Linked DNA regions of Saccharomyces cerevisiae S288C. The protein of the gene in region 3 binds, or shares a complex with, the protein of the main gene of each other region. Each region holds a gene or a part of one and is shown on either strand. Other genes may lie near its edges. The genes, in order: RFC2, RFC4 and CTF18. A codon is read from its position in the direction of its gene.

Region 1 (3,435 bases), on a different chromosome or scaffold from region 3:
GAAGTGCAGTCGATTTTGACTCAAGAGGTCGACAACAACAACAAAACCATCCACTTAATCAATGAGGCCTTAGACCTGGAAGAATTGCAGGACACGGATCTGAATGCCATTGCGTTAGCTAAGGGAAAGCAAGCTGTTGCGGCCTTGGGTAAGGGTAAGCCAGTGTTTGTGGAAGACACTGCGTTGAGATTTGACGAATTTAACGGTCTACCAGGTGCTTATATAAAATGGTTTTTAAAGAGCATGGGATTGGAAAAAATTGTGAAAATGTTGGAACCCTTTGAAAATAAAAACGCTGAAGCAGTTACCACCATTTGTTTTGCTGATTCTCGGGGTGAATATCACTTCTTTCAAGGTATTACAAGAGGCAAGATCGTTCCAAGCCGGGGACCCACTACATTCGGCTGGGATTCAATTTTTGAACCTTTTGATAGTCATGGACTGACTTACGCAGAGATGAGCAAAGACGCAAAGAATGCTATTTCTCATCGTGGTAAAGCCTTCGCTCAGTTTAAAGAGTACTTGTATCAAAATGACTTTTAGGTGATGTGCTGAGAAGATAAGAGGAATTATGGATAGATTTTTTTTTTTTTATTCTTACTTTATGTCGCCTCTATATTCAATTATATAAAGATGCCTGTATATTAGAGTTGGGATATTTTAACCAATAAGTTTAATAATTGGATGTGCTCGTTCGTTCCGTTGTTTAATCTGGAATCCGTAGTAAACAGCAACCAAGATATTTGATTTTTGAAGTTCGTATCAAAGTTATCGTTGGTGATGTAATATTCATGTAGTTGGTTAACTACTGACGCAGCAGACCAACCGCTTTTCATAAACGTATTGACGTATTTCTTAATCTCATCAAAATCACCACTTTTGACTTTTTCAACAATTTCTATTAGAATGTCATGAGGTACCACACCAGCTAATTCTTCCACTTGGGTAGAAGTTATGTTTTTACCATCACCCAAGTATTGCGCCCCCTTGGAAGCGGATTGTAATAATGTAATGCCTCTTCTCAAGTCACCTGCCGAAATGTCCAAGATCCTTTCCAAAACTCCATCATCACATTTAACATTTTCTTGTTCGCTGATAAACCTCAAACGGTCAATGGCATTACTTGCGTCTAGGGCTTTGAATCTAAATTTGGAACAACGGGACGCTAGCGGGTCAATAATTCTTGTCACATAATTACAAATCAAACAGAATCTTGTTACTCCTGAATAGGTTTCCATTGTTCTACGTAATGCACTCTGTGCATCGGCAGTCATTGAATCGGCCTCATCGAGAATAATGATCTTATACGGTGGGCACGGATAGTTCTCCAAGTCATGTTTGCTAGGCTTGGATACAGTCAATCTTGCAAAATTTTTTACCTTTTCTCTTACAATAGAGATACCACGTTCGTCAGAAGCGTTCAACTCCAATATTCTTGATTTCATCAAGTCGGGTCCATATAATTCTTTTGTTAGCGCTAAAATGGTAGACGTTTTACCAGTTCCTGGGGGACCATAAAACAACATATGTGGTAGATTAGCTGACTTTAAGGTTTTCTTCAAAACAGTAACGGCATGATCTTGAGCTGTCACTTCATCTAGGTTTTTGGGCCTGTATTTCTCAACCCAGGGTTGTTGTGCCAATGATTGCTCTGCGGCTAACTTTGATATCTTACGCTTTTTATTTGGACCAAACCCTTCAAACATCTCAAGTGATTGCCAATACTTTCCCCCAGTATTTCTCGCTGTCTCTCTATTTTACTTCTCTTATAGCATTGACTTGTTCGCTTGAGTTACTTCCTGATTGCTTTGAAATACGCGAAGTAAAAGAGTGAAAAATAACGATGAGAAAGGTTTTTGATAGAAGAGAACAAAAAAGGAACAGTGTTACAATAGTATATAGAGATGTCGAATACTTGGGACGATGTATGGGCATCAGACAGTGATGTCGAAACTGAACGATCTCCAGATTTAGTGAAGTTAAGAGAGAATCATAGCAAGAGGGGGTACTTGGACGGAATAGTGAGTTCTAAAGAAGAAAAGCTGCAAGAGGGTTTCAATGATGGTTTCCCAACGGGCGCTAAATTAGGGAAACAAGTTGGCATAATTATGGGGATTTTACTTGGCCTACGAACACGTTTTGGTGATGAAGATGAGGACCTCAGTAAGGCATATATTGATGCTCAAAAAGAATTACGCATTAACAAAGTACTTAGTAAGTCCATATTTGATCCAAACTTTGACTTGCAAGAAAAACATCCGCTCATAACAAAATGGACTGATATTGCCAATACCTATTGTGAAAAGTACCATGTGCCATCTATCCAATAAAGTTGTTTTAAATGGAGTTGATTTCACAATTTATGTACCTTATATCATCCTTCATTTCACATAATGACGAGATATTACAAAAATAATGATAATAATAATAATAATACACAATACTTGCACACGTATACAAATGCGTAATACAAAAAAAATAAATAGTAAACAAAGCACGAAATGAAAAATGACACCGCAGTCACCAGAATGGGCACCATCCAATATAATGTTGACATAACCTTTCAATAGAAGTGGCTTGTTGGATCAGTTTATCAACCTGCTCAGGGACGTCTAATTCATTGAACCTCTTGATATCATTGCCCGTTAATTTATCTGTAATACGTCTCAAAACAAGCATTGCTCTGGCGTTTTTGGTCTCATTTTGTTGTTCTGCTTCCATATTTGCCGCTTCTTCGACAGTAATTGCCCCCTTCCTTAATAATTCACTAGGATTAATCAACGGCAAAGGAATTCCAGTTTGCTCAGTAAGTTTTTGTGGCGGTAAATCAAATCCCCAATGGATCAAAGGATCAAGCGCAAAAGCTTCCAAGATCGCCATTAATGATTCTTTATTATCTCTTAAGACTCTCATGACATTTTCACAAGTAATTCGGAAACTGCCTTCAATTCCACTAACTTCCATTGCGTATGTTAACATCCTAGTTAGTCTAAATGGCACTTTTTCTGGATACTTTTCTCTTAAGATGGCAGCTTCAAAACAATCGCCGAAATCAATGTGGATAACTTTACCGGTGATTCTATCTAGCATCAGGTTGCTTGGATGGCGATCACCTAGTCCCAGAATATAACCAGTCATGGACATAACTGCTAAAGATCTCGTATAAGTTGTTCTACGTTCTAGCCATGTCTCTGACGACCTACTCTTTAACCATAATATTTTATAAAGGTCTTGGCCTTTTGTATTATCTAAAGCGTACGTGAATACTTCAATTTTTTGTAAAAGAGTCAAATTCTCATAATCGGGGGCCATTTGTAACATAACCCAATGTTCAATGTTCAACGGAATTTTTTTGGCATCACGGTGTTCTCTGATCAAAACGTGGAATGTGTCACTATTTGGTACCCATCCTAGTAAACCAGATTTAGGCGACAA
Region 2 (3,489 bases), on a different chromosome or scaffold from region 3:
AATCTGATGGACAATTTCCTTATTTGTATGCGAGTTTTCGAAAATGGACAGTAAATTTTCTATTATACTATCAACTGCTTTGTTTGTTAACGAAAATATAAGTATTTCTTCAGGCTTAATATTCTCCACAGTAATTAAATGTAGTACTTTATATAGTAGCGTTAGCGTTTTTCCTGAGCCTGGGCCCGCAATGACTTTTATCGTAGACGCTGGTTCATATGACTTATTTATTACCTTCCATTGAGATGGAGTTAGCTTGTCCATCTGTCTTCAACGAACGACGTATACCTTCTCTATATTTTTTCTACATATTATGACTATGTAACTGCACTGCGAGTTGTAAGTTTTGATCAACAAACAACTTTAAAGCTTAAATTGTGCAAAAATGAAAAAAAAAAAAAAATTCTGACACATCACAAGGGAAGAGACAAGACAAAGAAGTAGAATTTAAAGTAATGCACTAATATGGGAGTTTTTTTTATAGTTTTCGGATATTTAAATCAGGCTTTATTATTTAGTTTATGAATTTTCGCTAACATACTAGCCAGTTGCAAGTACGTTCCAACACCCTCCAGAATTCTCATATGGGTCAAACCGATTTCTTTTATCATTTCCAATCTTACTGATTCTTTCACTTGTGCTAAGTTTTTGGTAACGCGGAAAGATGTTGTGACGATATCAATCGAGGAATAACCCTTTTTCCAAAGATCTGTTCTTAAGATTTGAATTGAATCTTCTAGGTTGGAGGCTAGTAACATTTTCTTCACTATTAGAGGGTGAGGAGAATCAACAATTTTGAAGACATTGTCTGCGTTCACTAAACCGTGTCCTGCTACTGTACTTTGTAGATTGTTTATGGCCTGTCTCATGTCACCCTCCGCTGTAAAAATGATTGCTTCTAACCCATCATTTGTATACTTAACATCCTCTAGCTTTATGATTTGTAAAAGACGTTTTAGAACGTCTTCATCGGATAGTTTAGAATACCTCAAAATCGCACATCTACTTTGCAGCGGCTCAATGATCTTGTTTGATTGATTACAAGCAAATGCAAACCTTGTAGAGTTCGAATATAGCTCCATGGTCCTTCTCAACGCTTGCTGAGCACCAGCAGTCATGGAATCCGCCTCATCAAGAATAACGATTTTATGTTTCCCTGGAGGCAAATGTAGTTTCTTCTGGGCAAAATGTTTTATTTGGTTTCTGACGACATCAATACCTCTGTCATCTGAAGCGTTCAACTCTAAAACACCGTCAGCATAAGAGCGGCCAAGGAGCTCGTGAGCAAGGCAATGTACCGAAGTGGTCTTACCTATACCTGGCATACCTGATATGATCATATGGGGCATGTTACCATCTTTAGCGATTTGCTGAAGTCTATCAATGGTCTCTTTATTACCGACTATATCAGATAAAACTTGGGGACGGTATTTCTCAACCCATGGAAGTTGCAAAGATAAAGTTTTGGACATTATAAGGGACTTTTTATATCTTCTGGGAAGCTCTGCAATGTTATAATAGATCCAATCAGATTTATAAATGCTACTATTTTACAGTATTTAAAATATGTGGTTGGTTTTCCCACCTTTTTGTCAAGAAAAAACGCGTTTAATCTAACAGTGTGATGTGGTAATGAAAAATTTTCATTGTCTTTAAGAGAGATGGTGATGTTTAATATAGCGTAAAGCTTTCAAGGTAAATAATTAAGTGTCAATCTGCAGGCAAAACAACATGTCCAATGATGAGATAAACCAGAACGAGGAAAAGGTGAAAAGAACACCACCTTTACCGCCTGTGCCAGAAGGCATGTCTAAAAAGCAATGGAAAAAAATGTGTAAAAGACAGAGATGGGAGGAGAATAAAGCCAAATACAATGCGGAACGCCGTGTAAAGAAGAAGAGACTTCGCCATGAAAGAAGTGCGAAGATTCAAGAATACATTGACAGGGGAGAAGAGGTCCCGCAGGAATTGATTAGAGAGCCTCGTATCAATGTGAATCAGACTGATTCTGGGATAGAGATCATACTTGACTGTTCTTTTGATGAGTTAATGAACGACAAGGAAATAGTAAGCTTGTCTAACCAGGTCACCAGGGCATACTCCGCGAATAGAAGGGCGAACCATTTTGCAGAAATAAAGGTGGCCCCATTCGACAAAAGACTAAAGCAAAGGTTTGAAACTACTCTGAAAAATACCAATTATGAAAACTGGAACCATTTTAAATTCCTACCAGACGACAAAATCATGTTTGGAGATGAGCATATAAGTAAGGACAAAATAGTGTATTTAACGGCCGATACAGAGGAAAAGCTGGAGAAGCTGGAACCCGGGATGCGATACATTGTTGGCGGCATTGTAGACAAGAATCGTTATAAAGAATTGTGTCTGAAGAAGGCCCAAAAGATGGGCATTCCTACGCGAAGATTGCCCATTGACGAGTACATCAATCTCGAAGGCAGAAGAGTGTTGACGACAACGCACGTCGTGCAACTCATGCTGAAATACTTTGATGACCATAACTGGAAAAATGCCTTTGAAAGCGTTTTACCACCCAGAAAGCTGGATGCGGAAGCAAAATCCGCAAGCTCTTCGCCAGCTCCAAAGGACACATAGGCAGCCATCACTGTAGTATTATTAGTAACTGAATAGCAAAATAGTAATAGTCTCCGTAGCTACAATAGGTGTATATTGATGTCAGAGATACGGGTTAAACATGCGCAACTGGTAGTAGTTCTTCAAAGGGTGTTTATGCTTATCATAGTACTTGGACATTAGCCGCCGAAACTGGCTCCACTCGAAATCTAAATGGCATTCCCTTTTTAATATTAACAACACCAATCTTAGTGTCCGAGAGGTCCAAATCTAATGTAGGGCCGTGGGAGGATACTTCTTATTTCTCTTTGCTTATTTTGCTTTGATGTTGTATGTGTTTTACCTGTAAATTCTCTAATATGGTCATTTTTGCTCTTAATGACTCTTTTATTTTTACCCGGATTGCAATTTTTCACATATCGTCTTTTTATTCACTACGTACTTTAATCGTCTTCGCGATGATATGTACTGCTAACGAAAGAATGCCATACAAAAAAAAAGCTACCACATCGCTCGACGACCTCAATTATGCAACTTGTGCCGCTAGAATTGAATAGATCCACTCTAAGTGGGATATCTGGGTCCATCTCCATCTCCTGCTGGATCATTGTGTTTGTCCCTCAAATTTACGAGAACTTTTACCGGAAGTCGTCTGATGGGCTGTCTTTATTGTTCGTGGTACTTTGGTTGGCCGGCGATGTCTTTAACCTTATGGGTGCCGTTATGCAACATCTTTTGTCTACCATGATCATTCTTGCTGCTTACTATACGGTGGCAGATATCATTTTACTAGGTCAATGTCTATGGTACGATAATGAGGAAAAACCAGCAGTAGACCCTATTCATCTCTCCCCTGCCAATCCAATAAACGAAAACGTTCTGCACGATGTGTTCAAT
Region 3 (4,275 bases):
CAGATAATAAAATAATAAATAATCTAATAGCTGAGTGGAAGAAAAAAAAAAAATAAAAAAAGAGTAGTACAAACTAAGGAGATAAAAGTGTGAACTATGCCTATTCAAAAAAGTAGAATAGAGTAAATAAGCATACTTGTACTTATCTCAGTTGTAAAATATCGTTACTTAGAACTCCTCTTTTCTCTCTCGAAAAAAAAATGTCTTTAAAAATAATATCATTTCATCGAAAAGGCTTCCGGAGCTTCACCTTCCGGTCCAATATACTTTGGATCCCTCCATGGACCGATATCGGATAGGTATAACCCACCCTTGGATTCATCAACTTCAGACTTACCGCCAAATTTGACTGGTAAGTTTTCAGCTGGAATTTGCTTTAATAATTCCTTCTGGTAAGAAGAACCCAAGATAAAAATCTTTGAAACAGTGACTGGATCCAAGAAAGGTTTAAATAGCCTAAATGCGGTAGAGAAACCGAATGGCGCGTTGATGATGTAAAATTTACCCATACGTTCGGGGTAATAGTTTTGACTTATGTAGGAGGCTTCCCTAACATATGACATAACACTGTATGCACTAGATATGGAGATACCTTTCAAATCCATAATTGTACATGAAGTTTCCACTAGGTGACCAGCAGCTCTTGAACAGGCAGGTAATCTGTATTGAACGACAGATTCGTATTCCCAAACCAAGTTTTTCAACATCCTCTCTTCAGAGGTAACCTTGTTCATTTCATGTAAGTTAACAGCACCTAATTCTTCAAAATATACTGGGCGGCCATCTTTATCGGTTTTATGATAATATTGTGGGTAGAATTTGGCAATCAATGGTTTTTCATCATAATGAAAATCTTGCAAGATAGTGTCGGTACCATAATCCTTCCTCCATTTTTCGCAGTTTTCAAACATTTCTTTAGCCAATTGAACATCAAATTTTCTGGCTCTCAAAAAACGTAGTAAAGTTGAATCGTCTAAACGTTCAATGAAACCAGCGTCTTCCAAAAGTTTTCTTAGTTCTGCCAATGCCTTCTCTTGAGCGCTGTCTAAATTTCCTGGAGTACCAGGCAAGGCATCTGGAGGACAGTTTTGAGGGTAGGATTCTAAAAATTCCTTTTCTTGTTGCTATTTAAAGTGAAGTCATAGTAATACCACTTGTGTTTGTTAGTAAACTTATTGATATATCATTTTTGCTTCATATAGACAGAACTATCTGAAGAATGTGAATATTGTCACAATGAATGTCAAAAAAAGAAAAAGTAAATAAAAGCAACAACATACTGTAACCATTGTGTTTTAGGGCGATGAAGGTTTGGTTTGATGCTACAGGCGCTGGTCAAGCGATATACCAGGAAAGGACACTTAAGACACAAACAAAGGAAGATGTACCATTTTATTGTTGATCAACGTTGAAAAAAAAAATGTGGAAAAAACGAACTAGCCAGTCGCGTTGTACGGAACATCTAACACGTAAATAAACATGATTTCATATATTTTATTCCTAATGTGTACACTATTTGACCCAAAAGGTGGATGTAAGGTCAGGGATCATGGTTGATACCGCACCATACATTGGTTCACTAGGGAGAAGTTCCCTTTTTGATACTGGTGATATAGAACAAGCCCCTGGTAATAATGCAATTGGTATTAATGAGGAAGATATTCACGCGTTTGTATCAAGTACTGGCGAAACGGTTCAATTAAAGAAGAAGCCTGCGAAGTTAGCAACCGGGAATATTAGTCTATACACTAACCCAGATACTGTTTGGAGATCAGACGACACGTACGGCATCAATATAAACTATTTGTTAGACAAAATTGAGGCATCTGGCGATGACCGCACTAACGCACAAAAGACTTCACCTATAACTGGCAAGATAGGTAGCGACACACTCTGGGTAGAGAAATGGCGTCCTAAAAAATTTCTAGATTTGGTTGGTAATGAAAAGACAAACAGGAGAATGTTAGGTTGGTTGAGACAATGGACGCCGGCTGTGTTTAAAGAGCAATTACCCAAATTGCCAACCGAAAAAGAGGTCAGTGATATGGAACTCGATCCATTGAAAAGGCCACCAAAGAAAATTTTACTACTGCACGGGCCACCAGGAATAGGCAAAACCTCAGTAGCTCACGTTATTGCCAAACAATCAGGGTTTTCTGTCTCAGAAATCAATGCAAGTGATGAAAGGGCTGGACCTATGGTAAAAGAGAAAATATATAATCTTTTATTCAATCATACTTTCGATACAAATCCTGTGTGCTTAGTGGCGGATGAGATTGATGGAAGTATTGAGAGTGGATTTATTAGAATTTTAGTTGACATTATGCAAAGCGATATTAAAGCCACTAATAAACTATTATACGGTCAACCAGATAAAAAGGACAAAAAGCGCAAAAAGAAAAGGTCTAAATTGCTTACGCGACCTATTATTTGTATTTGCAATAATCTATATGCTCCTTCTTTGGAAAAGCTGAAACCATTCTGTGAAATTATTGCTGTGAAAAGACCTTCCGATACTACCCTACTAGAGCGATTGAACCTTATCTGCCATAAAGAAAACATGAATATTCCTATAAAAGCAATCAATGACTTAATTGATTTGGCTCAAGGTGACGTAAGGAATTGTATAAACAATTTACAATTCTTGGCCTCGAATGTTGATTCAAGAGATTCCTCTGCATCAGATAAACCTGCTTGTGCAAAAAATACGTGGGCGTCATCCAACAAGGACTCCCCCATATCATGGTTTAAAATCGTGAACCAATTGTTTAGAAAGGATCCACATCGTGATATAAAGGAGCAGTTTTATGAATTGCTAAACCAAGTAGAGCTTAATGGTAACTCTGACAGGATATTGCAAGGCTGTTTTAATATATTTCCCTACGTAAAATATTCCGACAATGGTATAAGAAAGCCAGCAAACATTTCAGATTGGCTATTTTTCCATGATTTAATGTACCAATCAATGTATGCGCATAATGGCGAATTGTTACGTTACTCCGCCCTTGTGCCCCTAGTCTTCTTCCAAACGTTTGGCGATATCGCAAACAAAGATGATATTAGAATGAAGAATAGTGAATACGAACAACGTGAATTAAAACGAGCCAATTCAGATATAGTTAGTCTGATTATGAGACATATCTCGGTTCAGTCCCCACTAATGGCAAGTTTTACGGATAGAAAATCGTTAATCTTTGAAATACTACCATATCTAGATTCGATGATCTCTTCCGATTTTAATAAAATAAGGAACCTGAAACTCAAACAAGCCATCATGGAGGAATTAGTTCAATTGCTGAAAAGCTTTCAACTGAATCTAATCCAAAATCGGTCAGAAGGATTTGATGTAAGGGGTGGCCTAACAATCGATCCCCCAATCGATGAAGTCGTATTGTTAAATCCTAAACATATTAACGAAGTCCAACATAAACGGGCTAATAATTTGAGTTCACTGTTAGCAAAGATTGAGGAAAACCGGGCCAAGAAAAGGCATATAGACCAAGTGACTGAGGATAGACTACAGTCACAGGAAATGCATAGCAAAAAAGTCAAAACTGGGTTAAATTCTTCCTCAAGTACAATCGACTTTTTCAAGAATCAGTACGGATTATTGAAGCAAACTCAGGAATTGGAAGAGACACAAAAAACTATTGGATCAGACGAAACCAACCAAGCAGATGACTGCAATCAAACGGTTAAAATATGGGTGAAATACAATGAGGGGTTCTCTAACGCTGTCAGGAAAAATGTGACTTGGAATAACCTGTGGGAATAAATGACGTAAGATATATACGCAGTCTCTCTTAAGAAGCATACTTGTATATGGACCAGCAGCTTACATAGAAATCTAAAAGAAGTAAATAAAGAACATTAGCAATCAATCCTGCCGGTAGTCGCAACAGCTCCGATTTTGTCACGCAGCGTTCGTTTTTTATTCGTGATCTTTTACCCTCTTCGCTATCGTTCTTATTTCTACATAAATGGAACCCCGAAGAGCAGAAAGACCGAAAATCGAATTACTATCTGTGGGATACAATATAGCGCATAGAAAAGAACAAAACATAGATAGTTTGGAAAAATAGTACAGACTGCTGAATTAACTCCACTTGGTGCTTTTGTATATATCGAATGGGCCAAAAAAGTAGTAAAGTGCATATAACCAAAACAGATAGGGCGATCCTAGAAGTAAAACGATCTAAAGATGAAATTCATAAGTTTACGAGGAGGACAGATAATTTGATTTTGGTAGAGAAGAGTCAACTAAAAGACCTAATA

What was found.
Region 1: CTF18 (region 3) and RFC2 share a complex: the UniProt entries of both Saccharomyces cerevisiae proteins name them as parts of the CTF18-RFC complex.
Region 2: the proteins of CTF18 (region 3) and RFC4 are in contact, whole or in part, in a cryo-EM structure (PDB 8TW8), measured with the Saccharomyces cerevisiae proteins. Residues at the interface, in NP_013795.1 of Saccharomyces cerevisiae: Asp394 (codon at 2,729), Ser395 (codon at 2,732), Lys416 (codon at 2,795), Phe419 (codon at 2,804), Leu428 (codon at 2,831), Trp462 (codon at 2,933), Phe465 (codon at 2,942), Leu468 (codon at 2,951), Met469 (codon at 2,954), His476 (codon at 2,975), Glu479 (codon at 2,984), Leu480 (codon at 2,987), Arg482 (codon at 2,993), Tyr483 (codon at 2,996), Leu486 (codon at 3,005), Gln493 (codon at 3,026); in NP_014547.1 of Saccharomyces cerevisiae: Asn148 (codon at 1,031), Glu152 (codon at 1,019), Gln155 (codon at 1,010), Ser156 (codon at 1,007), Val267 (codon at 674), Phe271 (codon at 662), Ala278 (codon at 641), Gln279 (codon at 638), Val280 (codon at 635), Lys281 (codon at 632), Glu282 (codon at 629), Ser283 (codon at 626), Arg285 (codon at 620), Leu286 (codon at 617), Ile289 (codon at 608), Lys290 (codon at 605), Ile292 (codon at 599), Gly293 (codon at 596), His296 (codon at 587), Met297 (codon at 584), Leu300 (codon at 575).

The regions. Positions count from the first base shown.
Region 1 is NC_001142.9:565,914-569,348, reverse strand, and holds RFC2 (replication factor C subunit 2), read right to left. Parts: upstream 1,707-3,435; coding exon 645-1,706; downstream 1-644. Other genes in the region: nucleoside triphosphate pyrophosphohydrolase HAM1, read left to right, coding at 1-543; YAE1 (Yae1p), read left to right, coding at 1,905-2,330; phosphatidylinositol kinase-related protein kinase TOR1, read right to left, coding at 2,521-3,435. UniProt on the Saccharomyces cerevisiae protein: Component of ATP-dependent clamp loader (RFC and RFC-like) complexes for DNA clamps, such as the POL30/PCNA homotrimer and the checkpoint clamp DDC1:MEC3:RAD17 complex.
Region 2 is NC_001147.6:141,084-144,572, forward strand, and holds RFC4 (replication factor C subunit 4), read right to left. Parts: upstream 1,473-3,489; coding exon 501-1,472; downstream 1-500. Other genes in the region: HMI1 (ATP-dependent 3'-5' DNA helicase), read right to left, coding at 1-264; TRM10 (tRNA (guanine(9)-N(1))-methyltransferase), read left to right, coding at 1,732-2,613; YPQ1 (cationic amino acid transporter), read left to right, coding at 3,121-3,489. UniProt on the Saccharomyces cerevisiae protein: Component of ATP-dependent clamp loader (RFC and RFC-like) complexes for DNA clamps, such as the POL30/PCNA homotrimer and the checkpoint clamp DDC1:MEC3:RAD17 complex.
Region 3 is NC_001145.3:422,003-426,277, reverse strand, and holds CTF18 (Ctf18p), read left to right. Parts: upstream 1-1,549; coding exon 1,550-3,775; downstream 3,776-4,275. Other genes in the region: phosphatidylinositol/phosphatidylcholine transfer protein SEC14, read right to left, coding at 219-1,124, 1,281-1,289; ESCRT-III subunit protein VPS20, read left to right, coding at 4,129-4,275. UniProt on the Saccharomyces cerevisiae protein: Essential for the fidelity of chromosome transmission. Required for the DNA replication block checkpoint.